Oryctolagus cuniculus: one gene and its partners. The protein of the gene in region 1 interacts with the protein of each later gene in a biochemical or structural test. Links are inferred from orthologs where the notes say so. Each region holds a gene or a part of one and is shown in the gene's direction. Other genes may lie near its edges. The genes, in order: GSK3B, LRP6, YWHAZ, RICTOR, NFE2L2, SREBF1 and KLF5.

Evidence for each region.
Region 2: of the proteins of GSK3B (region 1) and LRP6, one has a biochemical effect on the other in vitro, tested with the Homo sapiens proteins (2 studies listed by BioGRID, with this or other methods). The link is inferred for Oryctolagus cuniculus from reciprocal best matches to the Homo sapiens genes GSK3B and LRP6.
Region 3: the proteins of GSK3B (region 1) and YWHAZ form a complex in vitro, tested with the Homo sapiens proteins (2 studies listed by BioGRID). The link is inferred for Oryctolagus cuniculus from reciprocal best matches to the Homo sapiens genes GSK3B and YWHAZ.
Region 4: of the proteins of GSK3B (region 1) and RICTOR, one has a biochemical effect on the other in vitro, tested with the Homo sapiens proteins (2 studies listed by BioGRID). The link is inferred for Oryctolagus cuniculus from reciprocal best matches to the Homo sapiens genes GSK3B and RICTOR.
Region 5: of the proteins of GSK3B (region 1) and NFE2L2, one has a biochemical effect on the other in vitro, tested with the Homo sapiens proteins (2 studies listed by BioGRID). The link is inferred for Oryctolagus cuniculus from reciprocal best matches to the Homo sapiens genes GSK3B and NFE2L2.
Region 6: the proteins of GSK3B (region 1) and SREBF1 form a complex in vitro, tested with the Homo sapiens proteins (2 studies listed by BioGRID, with this or other methods). The link is inferred for Oryctolagus cuniculus from reciprocal best matches to the Homo sapiens genes GSK3B and SREBF1.
Region 7: of the proteins of GSK3B (region 1) and KLF5, one has a biochemical effect on the other in vitro, tested with the Homo sapiens proteins (2 studies listed by BioGRID). The link is inferred for Oryctolagus cuniculus from reciprocal best matches to the Homo sapiens genes GSK3B and KLF5.

Annotation. Positions count from the first base shown.
Region 1 is NC_091435.1:76,547,972-76,552,116, reverse strand, and holds the start of GSK3B (glycogen synthase kinase-3 beta), read left to right. Parts: upstream 1-1,296; 5' UTR 1,297-1,347; coding exon 1,348-1,435; intron 1,436-4,145. Other genes in the region: transcription factor SOX-4, read right to left, coding at 1-935. UniProt on the Homo sapiens protein: Constitutively active protein kinase that acts as a negative regulator in the hormonal control of glucose homeostasis, Wnt signaling and regulation of transcription factors and microtubules, by phosphorylating and inactivating glycogen synthase (GYS1 or GYS2), EIF2B, CTNNB1/beta-catenin, APC, AXIN1, DPYSL2/CRMP2, JUN, NFATC1/NFATC, MAPT/TAU and MACF1.
Region 2 is NC_091440.1:109,922,229-109,926,572, reverse strand, and holds the start of LRP6 (low-density lipoprotein receptor-related protein 6), read left to right. Parts: upstream 1-1,523; 5' UTR 1,524-1,608; coding exon 1,609-1,663; intron 1,664-4,344. UniProt on the Homo sapiens protein: Component of the Wnt-Fzd-LRP5-LRP6 complex that triggers beta-catenin signaling through inducing aggregation of receptor-ligand complexes into ribosome-sized signalosomes.
Region 3 is NC_091437.1:126,360,543-126,364,788, reverse strand, and holds the start of YWHAZ (14-3-3 protein zeta/delta), read left to right. Parts: upstream 1-1,423; 5' UTR 1,424-1,564; intron 1,565-2,238; exon of another isoform or gene 2,239-2,284; intron 2,285-4,246.
Region 4 is NC_091445.1:64,475,233-64,479,518, reverse strand, and holds the start of RICTOR (rapamycin-insensitive companion of mTOR), read left to right. Parts: upstream 1-1,419; 5' UTR 1,420-1,478; coding exon 1,479-1,527; intron 1,528-1,699; coding exon 1,700-1,747; intron 1,748-2,881; exon of another isoform or gene 2,882-3,018; intron 3,019-4,286. UniProt on the Homo sapiens protein: Component of the mechanistic target of rapamycin complex 2 (mTORC2), which transduces signals from growth factors to pathways involved in proliferation, cytoskeletal organization, lipogenesis and anabolic output.
Region 5 is NC_091434.1:63,717,703-63,721,855, forward strand, and holds the start of NFE2L2 (nuclear factor erythroid 2-related factor 2), read left to right. Parts: upstream 1-1,332; 5' UTR 1,333-1,382; coding exon 1,383-1,473; intron 1,474-4,153. Other genes in the region: AGPS (alkyldihydroxyacetonephosphate synthase, peroxisomal), read right to left, coding at 1,007-1,332.
Region 6 is NC_091448.1:62,549,871-62,553,950, reverse strand, and holds the start of SREBF1 (sterol regulatory element-binding protein 1), read left to right. Parts: upstream 1-1,240; 5' UTR 1,241-1,358; coding exon 1,359-1,466; intron 1,467-4,080.
Region 7 is NC_091440.1:39,678,617-39,682,964, reverse strand, and holds the start of KLF5 (Krueppel-like factor 5), read left to right. Parts: upstream 1-1,538; coding exon 1,539-1,959; intron 1,960-2,996; coding exon 2,997-3,056; intron 3,057-4,348. UniProt on the Homo sapiens protein: Transcription factor that binds to GC box promoter elements. Activates the transcription of these genes.

The DNA of each region.
Region 1 (4,145 bases):
CCGTTCGGATGCCTTCGGCATTTTCCGCTCTCTAGGCGAGGCTTCCCGGGGGCCCATTCTAATTGGCTCTTCAGGCCGATCGGCTTTTTCCGGGAGGAGCCGTAAAGAAACGACGCCCGTGATTGGCTTCGCTGGGGGTTCGGCTCCGCCGCCGAAGAGGGCGGGCGTTGGGCTCGGCCGGCGATTCCCAGACGCCTGTTACGCGGGCGGCGGGGCGCGGGGCGGTATAAGGCTGGGTGGGGGAGGAAGGAGGCGGAGGACGAGTAGGAGGCGGGGAGAGGGAGGGGGAGGGGGGAAGGCGCTAGGCGGCTGCGCAGACGGAGCTCCTCACACAGAGCAGCCCCCGACCCGGGCGAATGCGGGTTTGTGCTGCCGCTGCCGCTGCCGCCGCCGCCGCCCGGGCCGAGTGACAAAGGAAGGAAGGAAGCGAGGAGGAGCCGGCCCCGCAGCCGCTGACAGGGCTCCGGACTGGGGGCACAGCACGGACACTTCCTCAGCGGACACGGAGCTGAGGCGCGGGGCGTGAGGGCGGCCGCGCTGGTGCTTTGGACGGGGGAGGGGGCCCCGAGGGAGACGGAAGCGGTTGCCGGGTTCCCATGTCCCCGGCGTATGGGGAGCAGTCGAGGAGCCGCTGCCTGGGGTCTGAAGGGAGCTGCCTCCGCCACCGCCGCCGCCATGGCCGCTGGATCCAGCCGCCGCCTGCAGCTGCTCCTGGCGCAATGAGGAGAGGAGCCGCCGCCGCCGCCCGCCTCTGACTGACTCGCGACGCCGCCGCCCTCCAGGACGCCGGGCCCCCGCCGGATCCCGCCGCTGCCGGAGCCGCAGCGTTTCCCGTCGCATCTCCGAGCCGCCCCCTCCCTCTCCCTCCCTCCTTCCCATCCCCCCTTCTCTTCAAGCGTGAGACTCGTGATCCTTCCGCCGCTTCCCTTCTTCATTGACTCGGAAAAAAATCCCCGAGGAAAATATAAAATCCAAAGTACTTATTTTCAATCAAGTATTTGTCCCCATTTCACGTGATTTTTTTTAAGGAGTCCCCCCTCCCAGGAAAGGGAGGGGAAAGAATTGTGTTTTTTTTTTCCCCTCCCCCAGCCCCAAATCATCTATATGTTAAATATCCGTACGGATCCGTCTTGAAGGAGAATACATCGCTCGTGTTTTTTTTTTTTTTTTTTTTTTTTTTAATATAGCTATACAAAAGAAGTGAAAAGCCAAGAGGACGAAGTCTTTTTTTTTCCTTTCTTGTGGGAGAACTTAATGCTGCATTTATCATTAACCTAACACCCCAATATAAAACAAAAGGAAGAAAAGGAGGAAGGAAGGAAAAGGTGATTCGGGAAGAGAGTGATCATGTCAGGGCGGCCCAGAACCACCTCCTTTGCGGAGAGCTGCAAGCCAGTGCAGCAGCCTTCAGCTTTTGGCAGCATGAAAGTTAGCAGTGAGTATTGATTTTATTTTACACCCCTTCTCCGTCTCACCCCTAAAATAAGCAACCTCGAAGTCCTAGAACCTTAACATACTAGACCTGATGGAACACTCACCAGAGCTAATGGAAAAGAGCAAGACCTGTCTTCAGTCGAGGATGAGGCAGCTCCCTCTTTTCTCCTCCCATAACCCCCTCCCTCGGTCTCATTAACCTTGAGTTCAGAGAGTACGATTTTTATTTCGATGATTCGATTTGAAACGTTTCTTGTGCTTTCCTTGCTACTGATGGTCGCCTTTATCCAGTGCTTGGGTGTTTCCACTTGGAAATTGTGATGGAAGCGTTTGCTTGCCGACCCTTTTGAATAAAGAGGACTAAACGACTCATAAACCATTATGTGCATTTGCAGAGTGTTTGTCTTTTGGAACGAGGGAGGAAATTCTGGTTAGCTCAAGTCTCGGGTTATCACAGCTTTGTGTACTTCATGGAGACATGAAATGTCCCAGTCTCCTAACGTTTCTCTTCGTGCTGGTGTAACTATACAAAGTATTTGTTCTTAACCTGGGGATGAACTTGCTCAGTAACCAGCATTCATGTGTGGAGGTGATCATCGCTCCCTCCCTTTACAAGGGGCTGATGGGAACAGATAAATATCCAGCAGCAGTAGCATCTCCAAATACATTGTCTTGAATTGGATAAGTGGTTTAATCTGTTATCTCTTAACCTTCCTGTTTTGGCATTACCAATCTGCCACCATATAATTTGTTTAATCAAAAGGTAACTTGGAAGGAGGTCCAAGTTTTGATTGAGGCGTATGTTGTCATAATGCCAGATACTAAGTTAAATGTTAATTGTCACTGACTCATTGTCATTTAAGTTCAATTTTGACGTGCTGTTGCATTTGTTACTTGTTAAAATATTCTAGAGTACAGAGGATTCCTTTTTAGGAATACTTAAAATATCCTTGCATCAGTTTTCTTGTAGATAAGATTGAATTTAGTTAGAGGAACATAGATTTAGTCCTTTCCATCATAGTTTTTGCAGAAGGTTGTCCTTCTGGAAATGGTAGGGCTGTCTGGGATGTGGTCTCAGGGTTGTTACCAGACTGTACTTTCACAAAGTCTGTTTTCTTGAGGTGTTTGTTATACTAAGTATCCAGTGATCCCACAGAGCTCTGTTTGTGAAGGGGTTTGTGTGGCAATTAATGGCAGGTTATTTAAATATACTTCCAGATTTTGACAAAAAAAAATGTTTATATTGTTTCCTTATTCTCTGAGAAAGGGGCATGAAGAGGGCAAACTATTTTGTTGCCTAGAGGAGCTAAGAGAACTGAAGAGCCTTAAACAGTAGATTCTGTTATGTGGACTTGATTACATCCTTAAGCAATATAAAATGTTTACTTTTAATTGAACTCAAGATTCCAATCACTTTGGCTTTTGGAACTTGCCTGAAACAGGATAGTCCAAGGTAATAGCTGAATGGGAGATTATTTTTGAGTTAATTTTTTTTTCAGTGACTAGCTAGTAGAGAATGCAGAGTATGTAAAGAGGGAAGCTGATTATGCATCTTTTTAGAGAAGGGTCATGCTTTCTAAGCCCTTCATGGGGTCATTTGAAAGAAGTTTTTTATTCTGGGGGTAATTTTTAGCTATGATGAAGCAAATATTACAATAGCTAATTAAGAGCCTCTTGTGATACTGCAGTGATTGTATGTTTTACATCTTGGTAATAATTAAAAAACACTGAAAGTCAGTTTTAGGAATATAATTATTAGATGTATTTCAGAGATCTATAATGCTAGTGTATAATGCTAAATTCTGGGATTTTATATTTTGTTTCTAGGATTTTCTTTGAAGATGACTCCTTAATTCTTGATGGCATACATGTTGACCAAGAATGGTGTGATTTTTGTAAAGTATGTAGGTTAAAATGTTTGATTTTCTGTTATCATGTCCTTCAACTTAATATTTAAAAAGTTGGAATTTATTGCTGAATATGCATTTTTGATAAGCCTAGCTTTAGGGATATTTAGAAGAAAGGGGAGTCATTAGGCATTTGTTAGGTGCTGGTGTTTTCAGGACCCATGTTCAAAAGAGATACATATGAAATTATAGTCCTTGGCTTCAAAAAAAGCTGGTCACTTAGTAGTAGAGGCAATTTATGGGAAAAACAATGAAAACAATGGCATTACGACTGCAAGGCAAAATACAAATTGAATCCTTTGTTCAGAGGGACAAAGAATAAAGGGGTGAGACATGCATTGGAGGGAGAAGGCTTCCTGTAGAGAAGGTGTGCTTTTAAGACAGGTGTTAAAGAAGGCTGTGTCTTGAATTGGTGGAGAAGCATGAAAGATTCTAGGTGAAAGGACTCCAGGCACAGAGATGGTGAGTTTTGTAGGAGAGGCAATAAATAAGCTGGTAAATCTGAATTATAAAAGCCTAAGTAGGAAAATAACAGGTAAAATTTGAGAAATATTGGAAGGATAGCTGACAGAGGGCAAGGGGTCTGAAAAAGTTTGACATTCATGAGAGCTCTGAACAGTTTTTTTTTTTTATAAACTTTATTTATTTTAATTTTATTGGAAAGGCAGAGAGACAGATCTTCTCATCTGCTGCTTCACTCCACAAATGGTCACAACAGCCAGGGCTGGACCAGGCCTAAGGCAGGAGCTGGAACTCAGTCTGAGTCTTCCACTTGGGTGGTAGAAACCCAAGTCCTTAAGCTTT
Region 2 (4,344 bases), on another chromosome or scaffold:
GACGGGGATGTGTCTGTTTCTGCTCACCCACGAGCTTACAGACCTGCCTGGCCTCGACCCCAGCATGTGTTTCCTGGGCGGGCAGTGTCTGAAGTCACTGACCCGGGTTGGGTTCAGGTCCCTGCCTGAGCGGCCTTGGGTAAGTCACCGGACCTCTCAGCTTACTTTCCTTCTGGGTGCAATGAAGACACTAAGCGTCAACACCTGCGCATCCCAGGATGTTTCGAGCCTCAAACCTGATCGTGCACGTGCCGGCACTAGGTGAACTCCAGTGTCTCTGGGGTGTGAGCAAGATCCCGGGAGTGACTGCATTTCCTGGCCCGGCTGCCTTCTGGGAAGGGTGGGTGACAGCTGCACAGAAGGCACCTGACTGTCGGGGTGTTGGGGGGATTTCAAGGGGTGTCTACGCCCCTGCTCCCCAACGGCTCTGTGCACTGGGAGAAGCCAGAGGCTGTGCAAAAGCCGAAGCGCTGGGGGATCTCTTCCTTCTGAGCCTCGACCATCAAAGCGTGCCAATCACACATTATTAAATGCAAACTCAGCTTTGTCCAACTGTCCCTTTTGCAGGCTTAGGTGCCCATGCACTCGTCTTGGAAATTTTACTCCTCCAGTTTACACATTTTTACGTCTTGCCGGCCTTCACTCGGGGAGCAGGTGTCTCTGGGAAGGCAGGAGGAAAACAAGAATTGCACTTCGGCCTTGGCATGTGAACCTACCTCAGCAGATCCACGTTTAAAGCTGGTGTGACCAGCGTTGGTTTTTATTTTCCTTAAAAAAAAAAAAAAGGTGTTCAAACTGATTTCCAACCCCGAAGACCGAGTGCATTACCCCGTGAGGGACTCCGCCGTGGCTCCTGGAGCGTGGACCCGCTCGCCGGCCCCCCGCACCTCGCAGGCCCCGCTGGCGGCCGCCGCACCCCGGGAGCTCCACCTGGCTCGTCCGGCGTCCGCCGCACAAAGACCGGGGCCGGGGGCGGCCCGGCCGAGCCGCAGAAAGTAGTCCCGACCACGCCGGCTCCAATGTTGTTCGACGTCGCCTCACGCCCTCCGCGGGGAGGGCCGAGGCGGCCAGCCCGGGAAAGAATCCCATCGGAATGCGCGGCCCGGCAGCCTTTCCTGGAGCCGCTCGCCTCTGCTCGCCCCACGCATCTCCCGGGGTCTCGCCGCGGAGGCCGAACGCGCGGTTTTCCTCTTCTTTGCCCAAGTGCGCGGGAAGCGGCGCCGCGGGAGGGGGGCTCGGCCGCGCGCAGGGAGACCTCCACGGCGACCCTTGGCGACGGCGGGCGGCCGTATCCCTGCGCCGCTGCGCGAGAGGAAGAGGCTGAATGAGGAGCTGCGCGGGGGAAGTGGGGCGCCGGGGGAGGAGGCGGCGGGATGGGAGCAGACGCTGGCGTCGCGCGAGCCCGGGGCAGAGCGGCGCGGTAGAGAGGGCGGCGGCGGCGGCGGCGCGCGCGGAGCCTTGACGTGCCTCTTTCTTTCTTCTTCTGTCTCGGGGAAGCCGGGGAGCATGATCGCGCAGCTCTGCCGCTGCGGCGGCCGCCCCGGCTCCTCGCCTCCCCCTCATCTGGTCGCCTCTCGCCGGTGAGAGGAGAGAACGCGAGCCGGGAAGATGGGGGCCGTGCTGAGGAGCCTCCTGGCCTGCAGTTTCTGCGTGCTCCTGAGAGGTGGGCAGAGCGCGCGCGGCGCGGGGCTGGGGGGGGGGGCGCCCTGGAAAGTTGGTGGGATTTGGGGGTGGGGGGAGGTGGCCTTGTTTTGTGTGTCTGGGGGGGAGGGGAGCGAGGGAGGAGGAGAGGGGAAGAGGAGCGCCGAGAGGCCTGGTCGTGGGGAAGGAGCGAGAGAAAGGGGCCCGGGCGCAGGGGCTGTGCGCTCCGCCCGGCCACGATCCAGACCCCAGCCCGGCCTTGCAGACCTCGGCGTGGACAAAGCTGCGCGTCCCTCCGGGCTGCCTGTCTCGGGGAAGCGCTGGCCGCCGGCTCTGGCGGAATGACTGAGTGTGCGCCTCCGGCCGCCGGGCGTCCTCAGGGGAAAGGGGCTTTGCTCCGAGTTCGGCTTAAAAAAACAAACAAAAACCAAAAACGTGGGGAGTCCGAGATGCGCCCTGGAAACCCCCACCTTCCCCCGATCTCTCAGGTGAACTTTCTAAGCCCTCTTGGCGATTTTTCCAGGCCTTGGTTGCTACTGATCATTTGGCTTCCGCTTGGGCTGGGACGATCCCGGGCGAGGGCACAGTTGGAAAAGTGACTCCGGGGTTATAGGGCAAGCGTGGCAGCGTAGGGATCACCCGAGCGGCGGCCCGTGCTCCGAGACCGACGTGGCTCTGGGAAGCCCTGGTATTTGCGGAGTTGGCAGCAGCGAGTGGGAAAGTTGTGCTTGCATGCGGAGGCCCCAGTCCTGGGACCTGGATGGTCATTTGCTGCGCACCCCCACCCCACCCCGGGGGTGGGGGTGGGGGTGGGGGATTACTTGGTACTTGGGTAAATAACACAGACTGGGTAATTTACTCCGGGAGTCGCTTCCATTCCGGGGTCCCGGGATGTGTTGCATTGCCCTGCAGTGCTGACACGCTGGCTGTGACTTCTCGTGTGTGAACTGGGTTTGGGCTGGTCCGCAAGTTTTGCACAGCTCTTCTCAAAACTTGTGGAGAGGAGTCCCGGGCTCTTCAGCAGCTCCCAGCGGAGGAATTTAAAGTCCAAAGTGTGGTAGTTGTGGTTTTGTTAAAATTCTGGCTCGTGGTCCTGGTCAGGTCTTCGCAGGTGTGAGGTCTCTGGAGGTTTTCTAGCTACTGATGTAACAGACAAGTTGTGTGAAGCCCTCCCAAACTTACCAGGTACAGCACATGACAGTAATCAACGATCTTGTGTTAGAAATGTGACAGATGCGTCGTTTCTGTGCGCATGTGTGGATGTATTTTTGGGTGACAGGAACTGACCTTTTTGATGTAGAAGGGATATTTTCTTTACTCTTCTGCACCACTATTAGGATTGCGTGTTACATTTATCCTTAACGATTAACACTTAATCCAGACGGTCCATTTCCACAGGTAAACCCCAGAGAATGTAATGCAATTTTATGTTATGTACTTGGGCGTTATAATCAGTATAGTATCTGTACTTTACTGTTACAGTCACTGTTGAAAGTTTCACAGCTGTAACTGTGAGAAACAATCGTATGTGTCATAGGGCTGTGCATATATATATATATTATTTGATAGATAGAGTTAGACAGTGAGAGAGAAAAAGTCTTCCTTCCTTGGTTCACCCCCCTCAAAAGGCCGCTACGCAGATCCGAAGCCAGGAGCCAGGCGCTTCCTCCTGGTCTCCCACGGGGTTCAGGGGCCTAAGCACTTGGGCCGTCCACCACTGCCTTTTCGGGCCACAGCAGAGAGCTGGACTAGAAGCGGAGCAGCCGGGACTAGAACCCAGCACCCATATGGGATGCTGGCGTCGCAGGTGGAGGATTAACCAAGTGAGCCTTGGCACCGGCCCCTGTGCACATATATTTTAAGACAGAAGGCTAATAGAATTAACCAAAGAATGCCAGATGGTTACAGGAGTCTTGGGGAAGTCTAAACCCATAACCTGGGGGTTCTTCTGGTTGCCCAGTTGTATTTCTTGGAGGGGAAGAGTGTGATGTAAATGCTACTAATTTATTTTAACACCAGGTTTGAGCCCAGAGTTGGATGTGTTCATTGGAGTTGAGAGAGGTTGCATTTGGAGAAATGTTTTGAAGTATTATATTGTGTAGCAAGACCTAGAAGAGGTGATAGTTTAAGAAGTGGAGCTCATTTTATGTTGTAGCATCATAATGGTATGAGGTGGTCTTTTCTGTTTACCAGCATTTAGCAGTGTGTGCTTGTTACTTGAACTAAAATTATGTTTGATGTGAAGTGGTCATAATTTAGATTGTCTTCCTTCCTTGATAATGTCATCTACAGATACAAAAATGATATTTAGTCAGCCTTGGACTCCAAGGAGAAAAGTGTGACTAGTTTGTTTCATCAAGGTCATTTTTCCTCACAGAAGAGTTGGAGCTTTACCATTGGGTATGTGATGGATTGTGTAAGAAAGAGCTTGGGAGACTTTTTGTTCTTGTAGCCCTGTTTTGTAAGTAGCTGAAATCCAGGGAATATTATTTCCCAGGCTGTGTCCTGTTCCTACCATTGGATGATGAGGTGATGAGGTGTAGTGGAAACATTTGGGGATATTTTTCAATACCAAAATCTTAGGTTAAAAGCCCAAACTTTACTACTTCATAGCAAACTTCTCTGAGCCCCAGATTCTTTACCTGTAAAATGTGGCTGATGATAGCTACCTGATGAATTTACAGGGTTTTCAGATATATTAAA
Region 3 (4,246 bases), on another chromosome or scaffold:
CTAAATAAAGGTATTGGGCCAAGGGGCTGTGCACCCAAGGAGGGCACCGCAAGAGTCCCTGACAACCACCAGCCTTCCACGGCTGCTGCGTGGTTTTGCAGGTCACCCGAGCACTGGGCAGTCCTCAGCACTAACACGCGTGCACGGTGCAGGGTGCTGGGCGGGCATCTTCCGCTGTGACTGCAGCTCTCCGCACTTCCTTCCGCCGGCTGGGTGGAGCCGGGCCGCGAGACACCTGCAATTTCCGCTCCTCTGCCCCCTCTCCCTGCCGCCGGGCTGGGTCAGCCGGGGCCCTGGGCACTAGGACTTTGCTCAGATCTAGCCTTCGGAGACAAAATGGCTATGACCTTTATGTTCTATAGCCAAGTCTGATTTGGTAGGGGGGAAAAAAAACCCAAACTACCCAACGGGAAAGGCAGCCGTTTCGTGTGCTGGCGTCCACCTAAGCAGCCGGCCTCTCCCGCTCGGGAGCGAGGCTTTCTGAGAGTGACCGCGTCTCCGCCAGGCCGTGCCTGTCGCCCCCGCCTCGGCGCCCACCCATTGTCCTCTCGCCGCTGTCACCGGGCGAGGATCCCAAGCTCCCGATTGGAAAAGCTGCCCGTCACTCAGCCACACTTAGGGGCTGGTCGCTCCGTCCTCTTTTCCGAACCTTAAAAGGTCTAAGGCCTCTTCCCCCGCGCCGACAGGTAAAGCGGCGGCCGTGGCCGCGGCAGGCAGGCGCCGCGCACCCAGGTCCGCCCCGCCCTGGGCAGCCGCGGGCGCACGGCCGGGCGGGGTCCTGCGGGGAGCGCGCCGCACGCGGCCCCGCCCTCGCCCTGCCCCTTCCCCCAAAAGCCGCTCACAATGCCCGGCCGCCCCAGCCGGCCCCGTAATCCAGCCCTCGGACCGCCCTACGGCAGTCACCACCGCGAAGCACGGACCCCGGACCCCGGGGCGGGCCAGGCCTCAGGGCGGGGGCGGGGGGGGTGGGGGCGCGAGCGAAAGGTCCCGGATGTTGCTGAAGCGGAGCCCCTTCTGAAGAGGGAGTGATTGGCGCAGGCGCAGGCCAGGTCGAACGCTGAAGTGGGGGTGGGGACACATTTTCTTCCCGTAGGATTAGCGGAAGGGAGAGCCGGAGGATAGGGGCGGGGGGGGGGGGCGCGGCGTCCGAGAGGAAGACGAGGAAGCGGGGTGGCGGTGGGGAGGGAAGTACAGCAGCTTCCTGCCCAGGCGCACTCGGGGAACGAGTAGACAAGGTGGAAGCCGAGCGCCGGTCGCGGGGCGAGGACGCGCGCTCCTTCGCTCGCCCTCTAGCGCGGGCGGGTAGGGCGCGCGCCGGGGAGCGGCGGTTGCGCTAAGGCCCCCGGAGCTGTGGGCACCAATCAACGGTTGCCATAGCAGCGTTTGACGTCATCGTGCGTGTGGTGCCCCTGCTGCCGGGGCTGGTGATTGGAGGAAACCCCGTGTCTGCGGAGCGGCTGTAGCCTGTGAGCAGCGAGATTCAGGGACAGAGTCTCAGCCTCTCCGCCGCCGCCCAGAGCCCGGTGAGCCTCCGTCCGTCTGTCGGCTCCTACTCCGGACACAGGTAAGGGACCCGGCCGCAGCCGCCTCGCCCCCGGCCGGCCCTCGGAAGGCTTGGGAGCCGACCTCGCCTCCGCGGCCCCATCGGCCCGGCCGTCGGGCGGTAGCGGCGCGGAGCTGAGGCGGAGTCTCCTCAGGCAGACACGGGCGGCGGCTTCTCTTCCGCAGGACTCGGGCGGGCGGCTTGCGGCCGCCTCCGGCTACATGTTTCCGGGCCAGTGCCTCGGCCCCGATCGGCGCCCGCTCCCCTCTCTGGATCCCCCGGGTGTGTGGGGGGGGATGGGAAAGGCGCCCCCGACACGAGATCCCCGGGGATCCCCCGGCCGCCGGCTCCCCACGGCTGCCGAGGCGCGGCCGAGGCGCCCCGGCCGCGTTCCGTCCCCACCCTGGCCCGTGCGTCCCCGCTTCCGCCCGGGAGAATGACTTGGCGGCCGCGGCGGGCATTGCAGTGGCGCAGGTGAGGCCGCCCCCTCCCCGATCCGGTTCCCCGGCTCGCCCCCTCCCCCGCTCCCGGGCGCAGCCTCCGCGCCCCGCGGTGCGATCGCCCTCCCCCACCCGGGGCGCGGCGCGGCCGGGAGGGGCCGGGGCCGCGGGGACCGGGCCGCCGCGCTCGGCGCTGCCCCACGTCGGGCAGGGCGAGGCCGCCGAGGGCCAGCCGGCGTGGGGAGGGGCCGGCCCGGGACCGGCGGCGGCGGCGGCGGGAGGAAGGACTTGAATTTTCCCGGTTGGGATGGGGGAGGGGACTGGTTCTTTTCTACTTGTGGTGGGGCGGGGGTGGCGCGGGGGAGCTCCGGGCCCAGGTCGGGTAGGGGAGGTGGGGGAGACGGCGCTCGGCTGCTCTCGCTCTCCGGCCCCCCCCCCCCCCCCCCCGGGCTGGAACCAGGGGCCCTGATCCTGCTTTGCGGGCCCCGAGCGTAACAGCCGGTGGTGGCCTCGCCGGGCTGGGTGTGGCTCTCCGCCCCCTCCCCCACCTGCTGCAGCTGTCGGGTCCTTGGACTCTGGATGGGCATCGGTGGCGGGGAAGACGCGGGGTGGGAGAGCGGGGTGTGTCCGCGGCCGAGCTGGTAGTGGTTCCGCTTCTGCGGGCGGTGCTGGCGTCTCGGTCCCCGGGTCGGGCGCCCCCCTCCACTTGGGCGGGGGCGCGGGCTGCTCCGCCCTCCTGCTCTGGGCGGGGGGTTAACACTCGGCGGTAGGTTGGGCTCCTTGACACAGATCCGCCATGACAAAGAGGGAGAGTCGGCGACTTGTGCGAAGGCACCGGCTTGGGCGGGGCCTAGGAGGAGGGGTGGTTGCGGATTGCGCGCACGGAGGCTTTGCACTTTAAAGTCACGGTCTGCGGGTTTGCGTTGCACCCTCCCCGACGCCTGACGCCGCGGAAGGGTTAAATGGGTGCGGCGAGTCATCTCCATATAGAGGCGAGGCCTTGGAGCACTAGTTACTCCGAGAAACCTAATCCACTTCCCCTTGTCCCGGAGGGGTTGTAGAGGAAAACCTTTGTATTGGTTTTAAGCCATTTTTCTTTAGAAGCAATATTAAGCAGAAAATGTTTGGCGATTTTATGGGAAGGGTTATTTTTGAAGAACCGAGAAGAAATGTTCGATGATAAATGTTAACTATTTTGCACATTGAGATGGCCCTCCTCGCATACGCTCTGGCCAGTTTCCTTTTGAGTTTTTAAGCAGTATGGTGGGGTTTCCCTGGGAAGATAAAGAATGAGATATTGGGAAGTCAGTTCCCCTGGGAGATGACAGTGGCCCTTCCGTCCCCCGTTTTAATCTAATAGTACATTTCATTTCAGGCTCTGTGTGTGCTTTTAAATCCTTTGTTCTGTGGTATCACAGTACGGTGTAGTACCTTTCTCTGCTGTTGAGCACCGTCTGAAAGGCTATCTTATAAGATAAATGCAGTGGAGGTAACCTGAAAAGTACGGGGAACCTTAAATGAGGGAAGGAGAGCTAGGGGAAAGGGCAGCTTGAGTGATAACATCTCATTAAATTGTGAGTACTAGAAGCGGTGCAGTAATTCTATTTTGAAACTGGAACGGGGACATTGGAAACGCAGATGCTTCCAATGTGATGAATTTTACTGCTCTCGGATGGAATTGAAATGAAAGGGACCCTTGGGCCACTTTGTGAAGCATGTATGCACATAAGAAGGTATAAAGGAGGCCTTAGGGTCAGTTAGAGAGTGATCCTTGGTGATGGCTTTATATTCAGAATATTTTAAGAATGAGCAATTTGTGTGTTCCAGAAATTGTCATGCTGTGATCAGCTGGCAAATGTTGCTATATTGGGTGGGAGTGACACCAACTAAATTTAATCATCCCTGATCAGAGTAAGTATTAGGAAAGAAAAAAGACATGGACTGTGGTTCTGGAGATAGGGATGACGGTAGTGGCACTGTTCTTTGTTTGCCTTGTTTTCATGAAGGAGGAGAAGCTGTTCTAATTTTGGGTCTCATGATAGAGATTTTTGGTCAAGTGAGATAAGGGGTAATTTTAAAAGGCAGCCTTTTGACCAAATGTGCAAAACTGGTGTTCCTTGCTGTGAATTTCCCTCTCCATTGTTGTTGTGAGTTTTTTTTTCCCTGTCGTGACCATCCTTTTGTGAGGCTGCATTTGAATTCCTCCAGTGAACAGTCTTTCACAGACACTAGGTTTGAAGTGTTGATATAACTTACTTACCAC
Region 4 (4,286 bases), on another chromosome or scaffold:
ACAATGCACCTTTACAAGTGACATATATATATATATGAATGAAATACACATGCACTATAGGACATTTAAAACATCCAGAGCATACGTAATTCCACAACTGAGGGAGGAAAACCAACCAGCATTCCGATGTCTATCTTTTCAGACTTCTATCTGTGGACACATCCATTTTGTGATGCATCCTTTTAATGTGTGTGTATTTCAGAAGTTTCCAAACCAGGAAATTTGTAACCTCTTGCTTGACTCAATAATGTGAACCATTGTTTCTTATTAACCTACTAGATTCGTATCGTTTTTTGAAACGGCTGCTGCACTTCACACACCTCTCAAGTTTGGTCATTGAAGTGGTCCCACTTGTTCACTATTATTAGCAACAGCAAAAAAAAAAAAAAAAAAAAAAACCAAAAAACTCCAACATTTCTTTTTAGGGTAGAGGTTGTATTTCCTGGCAGCTGAGAAAGAGAAGGGGTTAAGGGTATAGAGCCCCACGTTCAGTCTCTAGGGAGTTAGAAGACGAGTCGAGGACCAAGAGCGAGAGAGCTCATCCTCTTTAGAGTCCATCTGGTCCCAGAGGAAGTTGCTGCATCAGGGGTCAGATGTGTCTATTAGGGTATCAAAGAACACTCGCCCGAATTAAAACTCCTGTCCTTCCCAACTGCTCGATTTGTGTACAGAAATACGCCTTCACAACCGCCCCATCTGCCACCGTTCCGGGAGTTGCAGACACAAGCCGGGACTCCGCTCTCGGCCCCCGCAGAGAGGAAACCGCGTCCCGGGGCCTGCGCGGGGCGCGCGGGGCGCACTCCGCTCCCGGGCCGGGGCCCTCCCGCCACCTCGGCCAGGTGGGCTCCAACTCCACTACCCCGCCGCCCCGACTCTGCCCACCCCCCAGAGCTGAGCGTGGCACGGCTAGGAACAGAACTCAGCGACGCGTTAACTTGGTCAGGGAAAAGCGAGTCTCTTCTCGCAGCGCGGGATTTACGGGAGTCTACACTGCGCGGGGCGCCGCTCCGCACGCTCGTCTGAGCGCGGCCGCGGATTCCAGGGCTAAGCCGGCGGCAGCACGCGCTCCGAGCAGGTGGCCGCTCGGCCGCAGCCGCCCTCCTCTGCCCCTGCGCCCCTCGCTCGGCTCGGACGCCTGGTGTCCGCGGCGGCCGGAGGAGAAGCATCCTCCACGCCGCCAACTCCATCAATGGGACTCCCCGCGTGGGAAACGTCCCCTCCCGGAGGACTTGCCCTCCGACGGCCCAGCCGCTCGCTCGCCTCGCCTCCCTGGGCCGGGGCGGGCGGACGCCACGAGCTCCTCCTCCCGGACCCCGGGTGGACGCGGCGCTCCCTCCGCGGCCGGAGCGCAGCCGGCACCACCCGCCGCCGAGGGGGCGGGGGCGATGCCGCGGGGGGCGGGCGCGGCGCGCGGGGAGGGGAAGGGGTTCTCGCGCGATTGGGCGAGGTTTCCGGTGTTGTGACTGAAACCCGTCAATATGGCGGCGATCGGCCGCGGCCGCTCTCTGAAGAACCTCCGAATACGAGGTAAGCGCGCTGCAGCCCTCACTCCTCACCTCTCGGCGCCCGCCACCCCTGGCACTTGCCTTCCCCTGGCCCTGGGTCGGGGGAGCGGAGCGGGGGCGCTGGCCGGAGCCTGGGCAGCCGCCGCTGGCCTGCGAGCGAATCCTAATTGGGGCTGTGTGTCTGTTTCGCGCAGGGCGGAATGACAGCGGCGAGGAGAACGTCCCGCTGGATCTGACCCGAGGTAACGCGGGGCGCCGAGAGCGCCGGCGAGGGCGCGCTGCTGGGGAGGAGCTGGGGCCGGGGCGGGCCTCGCACGGGACCCGCGACGGGGACGGGGGGCGCAGCCCGAGCCCCGCCTGCCGGCCCGCGGGAGCCCCGCCAGGCCGCCTCGCTGAACCCATCCCCCTTCCCGGTGCCCGCTTCACTCTGCCTGAACCCTTCTCTGGGGGCCTCGGGCTGCCGCGGGGGGGGGGGGCGGCTGGGGAGCCGCGAGCGGAACTGGCGGAGCCGGCGACCCCTGGGCTCGGTGGCCCCCGGGGGCAGCGGCTTCCACCCGTGCCGAAGCTCGTGCCGCCGGCTCCCGGGGCCGGCCGGAGGGAGGTGGAGGTTGTTATTTGGGTTGCAGGAGGATGTTTGAGGGAAGAGCGACCACATCCTGCCCTCCCCGTCTCCCGGCGCAGAAGCCGGACCTGCTGGCTTTTTTGCTCACTGCGTGCCTGCCTTTTTTTTTTTTTTTTTCTCTTTGCCCCGCGTCCTGTGGGGACCGCCAGCATCGGTAGCTCGGTGCTGAGCCCTGGAGCCGGTCAGGACTGCTGCGTGGCTGGTTTCCGCCGTGTTTTCCTTCTGTTTCTGTTTCCCGGGCCGCTGGGACCGTGCTTCGCCGAAGACCGCCCCCTCGCCCTGCTGCAGGTTCATTGTTTACCTCCTGCAGTGGCGACGGGTTTGTTTACACCTTGGGAACTGAGTGACCCTGGCTTCTCTTTTGAAGGACCGGCTCCGGCTCCACTCCGTATTCTCCATAGCAGGGACGGGACCGTAGTGGGGTTTTATTCCACCTTGTCTTGCCGAAGATTGCGTGATTGGGTACTTGCGACGAGGTTCTTTTCTGCTGCACGATAAACAGGATTTGGTCTGCTGGTTCGCGCCAAGTCCCGTTGCGTACCAGCTGTAGCTTGTGGTGTAACGTGGTTCAGCTGCATAGCATCAGTTGCTTGTTGAGCTCTGTAAAGCGCTGTAGGAAGTTGAAGTCGTCGTAAACAGTCGATACGCGGTCGATGTGCTACTTAACCCTATGTTCTTGACGTAACAATCGCTCTCCACGTATTTATGGTGGACGTGGGCTTGGTGTTGAGGATCATCGCTGAATTAAAGCGTAGTATGATTTGTTCTGTATGTCCTGATGGGAGGTAGCCTTTGTAAACTGGAAGGCCGGTTTTCATGGAGCTACGAGAGTGTATTTTTGTAACCGTGTTTTATTCTGCAACTTCAAGGACGGAGTTTTCGTGAACTTTGGTAGGCAAGAGAGTTTCAAAAATACAATATAGTAGGGCTTGAGTACTAAAAATGGCACTGATTACGATCACCAGTGCACTGCTTTGGAGCAGTTTTTCAGCAGCTTAGAGGTTAGAAAGTAGTGAAGAAACATGTCGTCAGCCTTTCGGCTTTTGTGCAGTAGTTTGAAAACTCTATATGACAGACATAGGGAAAAAATTTGTATGAAATGTTTGCTGTTTTCAAGGAAACCTGTGAACAAAAATAAGGGTCATTCTTAACAGGCCTGAAATTTAGCATTTTGAGTTAAATAACAGATGTAGTTTATTAGAGATTTGTGTACACACACACACACACAAGCATGTGTGTTTTTAGAGGGAGGTGAAAAGTACATACTAGGTAAACTTGAGGTCAATTTGTGCATTAAAAACCTACTTGGGCATGCTAGAAATAAATTTTAGTTGTACCTTAAATTTTGTTGAATTTATTGAATTTGTTGAGCTATATTTGTATTTCATTGTTTTTCTGATATCAAAAATTTTGGTTGTATAAAAGCTCAGATATAAATTTGGATACCTTGGGTTTACTCTAGTTTTACTCAGGTACACATGTAGCTCTGTATGTTTATTATTTAAAATGCTATATTCTCTAATAATTTATTTTATAAATAACTGTTCATAAGCATTTCCAGGATTATATAAAAATAATACAGAGACTACTGTTTGTTTGCCCTGACAAAATGTATTTCAGTTTGGAATACATGTACACAGCCAGTTGAAACCAATTTCACAAGTGATTTACAACTATGAGTGAGAGGTTACATGAGAACTCTATTCCTGAATCATAAGGAAGTTTATAATAAAGAAAATCTGAGTTAGATTCATTTTATAGCAACACTGTTTAAAGAAACTATTATTCTGACAGACGTTTCATTGTTCAAAAAAGGCTTGTGGATCTAACTTGAAGAAAGTTCATGAGGAATTAAACTTTAGTAATGATTTGAGAACTGTGAGGCAGTCTGGGTTACAGCTGAAGGGCAGCTGTTTGTGGATTGAATTACAGTATGTAAAAAAGATAAAGTTCAGGCAACCAAATAACTTTTTGATTAATGTCAAGGCGCCGTTTTCTCTTACTCTAATTATTTTCATGTAATCTTTGAGAGGTTTATTGTATAGATATCTAACAAAGTTCTTTATAAAATAGAAGTTAAAATCATTGTAACCCCTAAGGGAGCCATTAGTGTGTGATGAAAAAGAGCTAACTATGAAGTCAAATAATTCTGGGTTGTA
Region 5 (4,153 bases), on another chromosome or scaffold:
TAACTTGAGAACTTGGCACTGAAGTAAATTTGATGTGCTTTCCAATTCTAAACTGCCACACAGTGTATCTGCTAAGCTAAAAATTTTCTTTTTTAACTTCATCTGTAAGACAGAATAAAACTGTACCTATCTCAGGGCTTGGGAAGGAATAAAAGAAATGACGGATTTAGCACATCTCTGATACTTTGCAAGTACCCATTAGACATTAGCAACATCTTATTTCACTCTCAAGAGTTTATGCACTCAAAGCCACATCTCAGCAAACAGCTCCTCCCAGTAAATTTCATCAGATTAAGATTTCCCCAGAAGTCACATCTCAAGATCTGTCAGAAATATCCTTCATCCAGAGATCCTTGTCTTTTAGCTGCTGGTTACACGGAGTTCAACACCACACCCTCCATCACTAACTAGTGTTTATGGCTCATTGCTTCTTACCCACTCACTCATTGGTTTCCTCCCTCGAAGTCAAAGACCATGCCCATAAGCAAGTAGAAGTCTACTCCACAGAAGCCAAAAGGTACCTTTTTCCAGGACACCAACGCCCCCCCCCCCCCAACACACACTCAGGCTTTCACGAATTAGAAGGGGACCCTGTGATCATCTTCTAGTGCTAACCTGAAACCTCCTGGGAGAAGCCTAACAGAATCCCTGTTACCCATTCCAAAACCACAGCCCCTAAGTATTCGTTCAAGAAAAGGAATGAATTCCTGGCATTAAGAACCCAAGGGAAGGGACTCCTTTAAAACTCTTCCCCTGTAAGAATTCTTCGGGTCTGTCACCCTCACACAGTGGCCACAGTCCACCATCCTGTCCCGGTAGAGTCCAGGCTCCCGTCCAGTCTCCTGACAGAGAGGTGGGTCCGTACTTTGCGCGACTGGGATGCTTTCTGCCCACTCATGTCACCTTCTGTACCCCTCTTCCCTGTCCCTCCCCGCCCCCCGCCCCCCACGCAGCACAGGCCCAGCCTGCTCCCTCGCCACCAGCTCCTTCCCTCGGCCGTACTCACCGCTTCTTGGGGATGATGCCCGACTCTTGCACGGCGGGAGTGGCCGTGGGCGCCGCCGTGGCCGCCGCCGCGGCTCTCCGCGCTCTGCACTCATTGGTACTCAGAGCGTCCTGGGGCCGGCCCAGCAGATGGCCCGAGAGAACCCGCAGCCGCCGCCCTGCGCGATCTGGGTCCCGATCCCGGTCAGCTCCAGAGCCCGAGCTCGCGCCCGCGCCGGTCCCGCCCGCTGCAGCCGCCGCCTCCGCCATGGCTTCCGCCTTGTGCTGCCGCCCGGGTCCGCTGGGCGCGGGTGAAAGGTCACTCAGAGCGGCGCCCGGCGCGACCATTCGCTGCGGCGCATCCCGGCAGCCACCGCGGCGACTGGGCGGCGGGTGCCATGCGCCTGGAGCTTCACATTTTCTGCCTCCGCCCACCGCGCCCGCCCGCCCGCCTTGGTCACGCCTCGGCCGGGAGCACCTGCCGAGCAGGTGAGTTTGAGCCGACCCCTTATTGGCCCAACTGGGCTGAGCTGGTCCAAGAGCCAAACCACAAGCGCCCCCGCAGTAGTCCTGGAATCCTGGGAGGTGCCTTCGGGTGTGGCCTGGGCCTCTCGAGGAGCTTTTTAGGGGTAAGCGCTTCGGAGCAGGAGTAGGCGGTGTTACCGGACCTGACTAGAAGACCAGCACCTTCCTTTGCCCAGAGAAATGCTAGTGCTGCGCCTCTGCTCTCCCCCGCGGTGGGGGGTGGGGGTGGGAGTGAAGGTCACTAAAGTAGCTCAAAACTGTCATTACCTCTGACCATCAAAGCAAACGGCCCTTCATTTTCTCATTTCTCATCACCTGTTTCGAATATGGCACTGTGCTTAATGATAGAACTCAAACCAGTAATCTCCATCTTACAGATGAACAGAGACTCACAGACATATCCAGCTCGTCTGAGAACTTGCTAAGTTAATTGCTAAAACTGAGTTGCAGTTTTTCTTTTTCCATTCGTTTCTGGATTCTGACGCGAATAGAGGCCAGGTGGTTCGTTTTTGTTTTTATTGCTACATATAAAATTACTGAACGGCTGGCTGCTCTTGAGACTTCTCAGTTATTTACAAGTTAGCTTAATTTCTTGATAAAATTATTTTCACTTGGTGAAATTAAGGGGGCATCTCCTAAGACTGCCCCACAGCCCTTTCCAGCCAGTGCCTTACTTAAGAATTAGCCTACACAAAACCTGGCGATGCCACTGGCCATTGTGTTGTCTCCACGGGATCAGCACCTTCACGTTATGCTTTCTTAACAAAAGGAAAACTATTGGCAGAGGGCTCCGAAGAACACCAAAACCCCATGACCTATTGTCAGCTGACACCTAGGCTCTTGCCAACATCCACAGTTGAGTTTATACCTTCACCGTGAGCTTCCAAAGAGGCCCACATCTGATAAATCTGTTGGTTAAGCCTAGGCAAGTTATTAGGTGAGAGCCAACTCTTTGTTTTTAAGATATATTGTTTATTTGAAAGGCAGAGTTATAGTGAGGCAGGGAGAAAGGTCCCCTATCCGGCAGGTTCACTCCCCAAATGTCCACAGCAGCCAGAGCTGGGCCAATCTGAAGTCAGGAGCCTGGAGCTTCCTCCGGGTCTTCCATGTGGGTGCAGGGACTAAGGACTTGAGCCATCTTCTGCTGCTTTCCCAGGCATATTAGCAGGGAGCTGTGTCTGAAGTGCAGCAGCTGGGACTCCCACCAGCACCCATTTATGGGATGCTGGCCCAGCAGACCACGGCTTATACCCACTATGCCATAGCGCCGGCCCCAGGCATCTGTTTTTATACAGCCCTCAAGCTAATGTTTTTGAGAGTTGAAAAGTATTGTTTCATTTAAAAAGGAAGAAATAAACAGAACATGCAATATGTGGTCCAAAAAGTCCTAAAATATACATTATCAGAACTTTGCAGATTTCATGGCTCTGAGATTCATATACAAAGAGATACCAAGCCACAATGACAACAACACAAATGTCTAGCCTCAGGGGCCAGCACTGTGGCGTAGCAGGTGAAGCCTCCACTTCCAGTGCCAGCATCACATATGGGTGCCAGTTTATGTCGCGGCTGCTCCTCTTCCAATCCAACCCTCTGCTATGGCCTGGGAAAGCAGTAGAAGATGGCCCAAGTCCTTGGGCCCCTACACCCACATGAGAGACCCAGATGAAGCTCCTGGCTCCCTGGCTTCAGATCAGCCCAACTCTGGCAGTTGTGGCCATTTGGAGAGTGAACCAACAGTGGAAGACCTTTCTCTTTGTCTCACCCTCTTACTGTCTATAACTCTACCTCTCAAATTAATAAAATCTTTTTTAAAAAATGTCTTGCAACAGAGAAGTGGTTAAAAGAATTTTTTTCATATGATAAAGTATTTTTTGCAGCTATTAAAATAATTTAATGGGGCTGGTGCTGTGGCATAGCAGGTAAAGCCTCAACCTGCAATATCGGCATCTCATATGGGCACCAGTTCGAGTCCCAGCTGCTCCACTTCTAGTCCAGCTCCGTGCTAATGTGCCTGGGGAGGCAGCAGCAGATGGCCCAAGTACTTGAGCTCCCACACAACCTAGGGGGACCCAGAAGAAGCTCCTGGCTCCTGGCTTCAGTGAGGCCTAGCCTTGGCCATTGCAGCCATTTGGGGAGTGAACCAGCAGATGAAAAAATCAATCAATCTCTCTCTCTCTCTCTCTCTCTCTCTGCCTTTTCCTCTCTCTCTGTAACTCTGCCTTTCAAATAAGTAAAATCTTTAAATTAAAAGATAATTTAGCACAAAACTAAGAAATACTATGAATTTGTTAAATGCTAAATAGCCATAATCTAGACTGTTGTGACTCTTTGCAGCAACACACTGATACAGATTTTTCAAGGAGTATAAGAAATTTTTCTAAAACAACTGTTTGTTATGTTAAGTACCATATACTGGGGCCAGCTTTTTAGCGTAATGGCTTAAGCTGCTGCCTGCTGTGCTGAAATCTCATCTGGGTGCTGGTTCCAGTCCCAGCTACTCTACTTCTGAACCAGCTCCCTGCTAATGTGCCTGGGAAAGCAATGCAAGATGACAGAAGTCCTTGGACCCCTGCATCCACGTGGGAGACTCAGATAAAGCTCCTGGCTCCTGGCTTCAGCCTGGTTCAGCCCTGGCCATTGC
Region 6 (4,080 bases), on another chromosome or scaffold:
GAACTGTGCAGCACGGGGCGGGGGGGCTTCAACCAGGCTCAGGTCCCGTGGGCCTTTGCAGTGACCTTGCTTTAACCGGCCCCTGTTATCTGGAGCTATGCTGAACCCATTTCGGTAATGGCGAGGCGGATCCCCAAGACCATGGCCCCTGGGGATTCCGTACCTGCCTCTGTCGGTACCCGGTGCCCAGTTCAGCCGCCCGACTTGGAAGAAAAGTGTTCTTGGGGGCGTCGCCTGGCACCCCCTAATCCCATCCCTGTCCCCTGGGAAGAAGGGCTTGTTTGAATTTTCAGGGAAAGTCACCGGATGCCAGAGGCCTCCTGGGGGGCGGGGGGGGGGGTGGCGAGCCTGGGAGACCCCAGCCAGCATCTGGAGAGAGCAAGCCCTGGGTGGGGTCCCTGAGCAGGATGCCTGTGCAGGCGCTGTAGTTTAGAGACCCTGGTGTGGGTTATCTGTGTGCAGGTTGAGCCCCAGGTCCCGGGTGTCTGCAGCTGGCTTCTCCCTGCAGGGCACCCCCACCCCCTTGCAGGCTGCATCCTGCACGGGTGTGGACGTGAGCGGACAGACTATATAACTGGAGTCAGCCGGGGGCGGTCTTGGACTTGCCCTGACTGGCGGAGCCTGGGGAGAGGGTGGGGGTGGGGGTGGGCGGAAGGTCCAGACCCCTGCTGAGTCTCCTCGGCTGCCCTCCACCAAGGGGGCCTCTTTCTGAGTGATGTCGATCTCCCGCATTGAGACCCCTGGCCTGGCTCTGGGGTTTGCAGCTTCGGGCGGGTCACTGTTTAGTCTGGGGTCTTGCTTCCTACCCATAGCTCAGTCTGGGAGGAAACCAGAGATAAAGACCGGATGAGACACTATCTTCCCCGCCGCAGGAGCTAGGCAGACTCCACAGGCCGAGCCCGGGCCCCAGGTCCGTCTGCAGATGGGGGAAACCGAGGCAGAGTGACGGCTGTCACTTGGAGCCCCACACAGCCAGACAGAGGGAACTGAGCGGGTCGCGCCCCCGACCCCCGGTTTAGAGACCCCAGCGTTGGAACCCATCCTGGTGGGGTCTTCCACTCGGCCCCCTTGCTCGCTGCGGCTGGCCACAGGCTCTGTGCCCCTGCGGCCGGCGGAGACCCGGCGGGGGCTCCACGGTTCCGCCGGAGGGGCGTGGCGTGGGGGCGGAGCCGGCTACCCAGGGGGGCGGGACCTCCCGCCAGGCCCCGCCCCCGCCGCGCCCGCCCTGCGGAGTCCGAGTCGCTGCCCGGGGAAACCCAGTTTCCGAGGAACTTTGCGCCGGGCCGCCAGCGACTTGGCCGGCGCGGGACTCGAACGCGCGGAGCGGGGGCGGCGGCGGCGGCGGCGGGCCCGGCACCATGGACGAGCCGCCCTTCAGCGAGGCGGCCTTGGAGCAGGCGCTGGCCGAGCCGTGCGAGCTGGACGCGGCGCTGCTGACGGACATCGAAGGTGCGCCGGGGCGGTGGGTGCGGAGGGTGGGGGACTCGCAGGAGGCGCCCCGGCCTTTGTCTCCCCGGCCGGCGTGGGGGACACGCGGGGGCTTCCCGGGGCTGCGGGCCGCCTGGGCGGGGTCGCGCCGGGGGTCCCGGGGCAGCTCGGCGCTGGCGGGGCGGGGAGGACACGTGCGCCTGGACGCGTCCCGGGCCCTGCGCCGCGGGGGCCGGCCCCGTTCCCCAGCCCCGTTGGCGGCCGCGGCTGGAGCTTGGGACCCGGGCGTCGCCGAGGCCCCGCCCCCGCCGTGACGTCCGCGCGGGGTTACTCACGGTCATTTCCCTCCGGCCTGAGAGTTCAGCCGGGCGCAGGCGCCTCTGCGCGTGCGCACGGTGCGGCCTCTTTGCCAGCCGCCGCCGCCGCCGCCGGAGAGGGTCTGGGTTCTGCGCACGCGTCGTAAAGCCACCACCGAAGGCCAGGCCCCCACCATCCAAGCCCACCCCACTCCACCCCACCACCACGTCGTAGACGCGGAGGGTTCGCAGACAGCTCAGACTTGAGGGCCAGCCCCGGGGCCAGCGGGGCGAGGGTAGAGGCCCCGGGCAGTGCCCAGGCGGGGCGCCCTGTCCCTAAGGAGCAGCTCCGGGCTGCAGGTGCTTCCACGTGGCAGGCCCGGCGAACCCCAAGTCCCAGGAAGTTCCCCCATGCACCTGCCGTGGGAAGACGCGAAGGCTAAGGGCAAAGGAGCAACCTGCATGGACGCTGGCACCCTGGTGGCCGCTGCCCTGCGCAGCCTATGGCTGCGACTTACAGGGATCCCCGTGGGCTCGGAGGGTCAGAGTTGAAGCTGGACCCTTTGCCATCCTGCTGGAGCCCCCTCGCCCGCCCACCGAGTCTCAGTCCCCCCTTTCCTCCCCCCGTAAGTGCCCCCTTCACGAGGGAGCTGGGACAGTTGACTCAGATCTGTGCCTGGCCTTCTCCCTGACTCCCGGGGCTTGGGCAGCCACGTGGGGGGCGTCGTTGGGGGGTCAGACGGGGCTTGAGTGCTCATCGGCGACAGCGAGGGAGGCTGGAGCCCTGCAGGACCAGGCGGGGGCGGTGGGCAGTGGCTGAGGTCTGCCCACTATGGGGGAGGGTCTCTCTCTCTGTCTTTACTCACCCTTTCTGTTCTTTTTCCTGGTTATGCAACACATTGGGTTTCTTTTTTTTCCATTGTAGAAAAAGTAGGAAGTGTTGATTAACAAAAGAAAGAAAATGTTTCTTAAATCTACCCACCAGAAATAAGCCCTGAAGCTTAATCCACTTTTTTTTTTTTTTTTAAGATGGATTTATTTCTTTGAAAGGCAAAGAGTTAGAGTGAGTTAGAGTTAGAGTCAGAGAGAGAGTTAGAGTTAGAGAGGTCTTCCATCTGCTGGTTCTGACTACAACAGCCAAGTGGGAAAGTCCATCCAGGTCTCCCACGTGGGTGCAGGGGCCCAAGCACTTGGGCCATCTTCCGCTGCTTTCCCAGGCCACAGCAGGGAGCTGGATCAGAAGTGGAGCAGCCGGGACTCCAACCAAGTGCTTATCTCGGATGCTGGTGCCACAGGTGGTGGCTTAACCTACCCAGTTGTAATACTGACCCTTTCATCCACTTTTTCAAAAACAGGGACCAGAGAGTTGTGGCATAGCCCATAAAGCCACCGCCTACAATACTGGCATCCCATGGGGGTGCCGGTTTGAGTCCTGGCTGCTCCACTTCCAATCCAGGCCCCTGTTAATGCACCTGGGAAAGCAGTAGAAGATGGCCCAAGTCCTTGGGCCCCTGTACCCACATGGGAGACCCAGAAGAAGCTCCTGGCTTCAGGCTGACCCAGCCCCAACTGTTAAAAGGATGAAAGATTCTCTCTCTGTCTCTCTCTCTCTCTTTATAACTCTGCCTTTCCAATGAGAGAAATAAATCTTTAACAAAACACCCACAAGTGTATTAAGGTACCAACTTTACACACTGGGAAATAGATACATTCTAAGCGAGCTATGCAACAGTTTCCAGTAGCGCCCTATGCAAGTTTCCAGTATGTGTACCAAGTAGCGGGCCCATCATCAGCTGCCCACTTGGACTCCTTGTAACTGTATGGTTTCTGCCCTTTCCTCCCCCACCCCCCAGGCTGTCTGCATTTTTTTTTTTTTTGGTGAATTACAGTAGCATCCATCCGGTTCCCAACAATGAGGATCTGCTTTGTTCCATGTCGCAGCCAGCGGCCAGCCGCTTCCCCCGCACTTCCACCTGCTAAAGACACCACAGTGGTTCTGTTCTCCTACCCTGTGCCGCAGTGGGCCCCCTCCCACCCCCGAGGCCAGCCTGTGCTGGGATCCTCACTTTGGTTCCTAAGGTCTGGGCTCTGGGAGGGGAGATTTGCTGGGGAGAGGATTTCTACAGAAGCCTCTATGGGGGCTGCCACCAGACTTGGCCCTGGGCAGGTTGGACACGGTCTGGAAGAGCCAGTGGGAAAGCCAGTTCCCCTGAGAGAAGTGAGGGTGGAGAGGCGCCCCAGGGACGAGCTGGGCTGGCTGGGGAGGGGGCAGCGCAGGGACATGACATGCGTGTTCCCTCGTGGCTGGGAGCTTGGCGGGCACAGTGGTTACAGCCATCACTCGGGACACCTGCTG
Region 7 (4,348 bases), on another chromosome or scaffold:
CCATCTAGTTGTGTGTTTCTTTGAGAATTTCCTGTTCCATGTTAAAAATTGGGGGGGGGGGGGGCTTATGTTATTCTAGGAGAAAAGATAGCTGTGAAAAGACTGAGGGCAGCTTGTTACTAGCTGGATCATGTTCTTAAAAAAAATCACCCCTTGAAAACTATGTGGTTATTTGAGTTTGTCACTCTCCTGCCTAGGAGATACCTAGAGGATAAGGCATGACTGAGCTTTTTGCAGAGAGAGGGGGAATGTAGCGCCGGCCCACTGGGGAGGACATGATAAATGTTTGGCTGATGACTGTGCTAGCCCATCAGCAGCCTCTCCCCACCTACCCGGCTACCAAGGGAGTGATTTCCCCCTAGGTAATTAAAGATCTGTTTGAGATAGGGATATGAATAGGAACATTTCATTATCATATTAACCAATTACCGAATCTACTGATTAAAATCAACATTTAGATCAAATGCTAAATGTGAAACTGTTTTGTTTCAGTGGATACTGTGTTTTGCCAAAACATTGTATTTAGGTTTCCATTAAATCGTAAACAAGAAGAGGCACTGAACTAGCTGAAGAATGTTTTAGATGAGGTATTTCAGAAATACCTTGCCAAGCAAAAAAAAAAAAAAAAAACTGCAAACAAGATTTGTAGAGTTGTGCGAGTGTAAGAATGTTAAGCTTAACTAGAATTGAGGTAGTTTGGCAATATTTCATTACTGCCCTCGTACTTGAATTGCACACTTGACTGTGTAATGGGGCAGGGAATCCTGTTTGTCCTACTATTGCATCACAGAGGAATATGATTTCTGTTTGCTTCCTTTTTTTTCTTGATTTGCCTTTTTTTTTTCACTTTTTTTGTCTGGGACTGATAAAGGGGAGCGATTTTTATCAAATGCATGTTAGAGTTTCATAAGGTTTTGGTGAACCAGTTATTACACAATTGACAAAATAAACCTGGTCCATTTATAAGCAACACTTAGGAGTTTGTCCTAGTACTTTATGTCGGGATTGGAGGGTGTAAGAGGTTTTTTAAAAAGAGCACGTTTGAATCAGGTGGATTATGCGTGTTTGTGTCTCTTCTTTTTTAGACAAGATGTGAAATGGAAAAGTATCTGACACCTCAGCTGCCTCCAGTTCCAATAATTCCAGAACATAAAAAGTATAGACGAGACAGTGCCTCGGTGGTAGACCAGTTCTTCACTGACAGTGAAGGGCTGCCTTACAGTATCAACATGAACGTCTTCCTCCCTGACATCACTCACCTGAGAACTGGCCTCTACAAGTCCCAGAGACCGTGCGTAACACACATCAAGACAGAGCCTGTTACCATTTTCAGCCACCAGAGTGAAACAACCGCCCCTCCTCCGGCCCCGACCCAGGCCCTCCCCGAGTTCACCAGTATTTTCAGCTCCCACCAGGCCGCAGCTCCAGAGGTGAACAATATCTTCATCAAACAAGAACTTCCTACACCAGATCTTCATCTTTCTGTCCCTCCCCAGCAGGGCCACCTGTACCAGCTGCTGAACACACCGGATCTAGATATGCCCAGTTCTACAAACCAGACAGCAGTGATGGACACTCTCAATGTTTCTATGTCAGCCGCCATGGCAGGCCTGAACACACACACCTCTGCCGTTCCACAGACTGCAATGAAACAGTTCCAGGGCATGCCCCCTTGCACATACACAATGCCAAGTCAGTTTCTGCCACAACAGGCCACTTACTTTCCCCCATCACCACCGAGCTCAGAGCCTGGAAGTCCTGATAGACAAGCAGAGATGCTCCAGAATTTAACCCCACCGCCATCCTATGCTGCTACCATTGCTTCCAAGCTGGCAATTCACAATCCAAATTTACCTGCCACCCTGCCAGTCAATTCGCAAAACATCCAACCCGTCAGATACAATAGAAGGAGTAACCCCGACCTGGAGAAACGCCGCATCCACTACTGCGATTACCCTGGTATGTCATCTACACTGGGGTGGAGCGACAATCAATAGTGTTTGTGTGTCTGTACAGGTGTGCAGTTGTGTCTCTTCCAAACTCAGACCTTACATTTATATAGGAACCTTGACAGTAACACCTACGTTGTTCATTTCATACCCTGTTTTTGTGCTTTACTGTGGTATGAAACAAGTTAGTAGTCTATTGCTTATTTTTATATATTTAAAAAATGTCTAGAATACTCTGGAGAAAAGTTATCTTGAACTTTTTTCTCTTCAGCAGTACATTTGAGTTTCACACACATTACAGAGTTTACATTTACTTTAAGATAATCTAATGAATTGCAGTTTTTTATTATAGATTAAGTGCCTGGAAAAATATTGGGGGGGGTGAAATATTGTGTAGAAATGAAACGGGCGCTGTGGACAGCTAGCTGATAACAGCTACGAGACGGTCCAGGGTAGATTTATGGTAGCTTCTGATAGCATATGCTCATTCTTGAATGAGGGATGCAGCTGAAAATATAAATTGATGACAGTAATGAGTATATTTACAAGTTGCTGGCGTAAGCTAGTTTATGTTTAATACAGGGCATAATTTATTGACTATGGTACATGATATGGCATGACGTGCTAAATGAAAAAACAAGAAATGTCGGAGTACAGAAAATTGTAGTCATCTTAGATAATGGCTTAGCATTGTAGTTCTAGAGCCATTGAAATTTTTTAAAAAACATACTATAGTAGCTGTTAGTTGCTGAACTGTGTGTTGCTAGTATAACCTACCTACTGGAATATAAACACAAACGTTCTATTTGTAGTTTGGCCCGATTTTGTGTGTTCTTTCCTACTAAGGCGATAGATGAAACCGATCACTTTATGCCTTTAATAAGATAATGGGGGAGCACGCAAAGACTTTTAAAACTGAAACTTCAAATATCTCATCTAGCACTAGAGATTTCTTCTTTAAAGTCAGATTTTAAAGACTGAATCATCAGATGTAAAGGTTTCAAAAGGCTCTGCGAAATGACAAGCTGTTCTTCTCCTTCATTTTAGGCTGCACAAAAGTTTATACAAAGTCTTCTCATTTAAAAGCTCACCTGAGGACTCACACTGGTATGTAATTTTCTTGTTAATACTGGGAGTTGTGTAAATAGTGTAAGTGGTATTCATCCTTTTAAAAGCCAACACGTGTTTGATCTCTTCTTTCTTCTGTCAACTTTTATTTTTTAATGGCCTACCTTTTCAGTACTGGCTTGGCTCAAAATTCAGTTCCATGAAAAAGTCTGGTTCCAGGAAGGCTGATGTTCCCTCACTAACGCCTTGCCTGTCACCTCACATAGGATTAATTACTGAAAAATCTAAACAACGATGTTTACTAATGGACTTTAAAACTTTTAATGGCACTGCTGGTTCAGTCTTGAGGGGGGGAAAATGAAATTAATTTTCTTCCTTTGTAGCAAATCATTTTGCTTCCACAGAGCCACTGTGAACACCAAAAACCTTTCCACCTGGCATGTGCGCTATGGCTGCTGAGCGGTGTCTGTTATCTCTGATTTCACGTTTAGTGTGAAATACCTGTTTCACGTATTTTCTGTACTTGCTGAAAGGTAGGGCTGAAATTGCCGAGTATTAAAGTCAAGTGGTTAGAAATGGGGTAATATTTTAAAAATTATTCTACAAATTGGATTCTACAAATTGGGTATATTTATTTGAGAGATTTCATCTTTGTTTAAAATGTACTTTTAACTATAGCCCCTTTCATTTTAAAAGTGTCTGCTTGTTTTGTTAAATCCACGATAGTCACTTTTCAGAGACTTAATTTTAAAATGCATTTTAAGGTGAAACTAGGTGGCATACTTCATGAAACGCGTCCAAATACCCAAAATATTTTTTAATATATAGATGGTTACTCCTTGTAATTTTCTTAAAAGAACAGCCCTAAAGCAAAGAACTTATATAAAGTGACTGTTTTCCCTTCAATAAATGCAGCCTTACCTAAAGTTCAAAGAATAAGTTTGCTAATAAAAGCAATGACCTAGCAAAATGTATTATTCCATCATTGCTATGGAAACCAAAGTATTCAACAGTTCCTTTGAATGGGTTGTTGGATTAGTGTGAGGACTTGAATCTCCCCAGGCTAGATGTTACTATGGAAATTGAGTTTTGATAAATGAAGTAGTTATCTCTAACTGCTACATTAAAAAGTAAAAGCCTTTGAACAAAGGTCAGTGCTGAGATAGAGTCCTGAGAGGAACATGGTTGCAGACATTTTGTGTGCATGTTAGAATTGCTTGATATCCCAGTGATAAACACTACTTATTAAAATCAGAGTAATATCGGCGACAATGGTGGTAGGTTACAAGACTTTTTGAGAAACCGCTTTTAAAGAAAAGCCATTTCCTCTA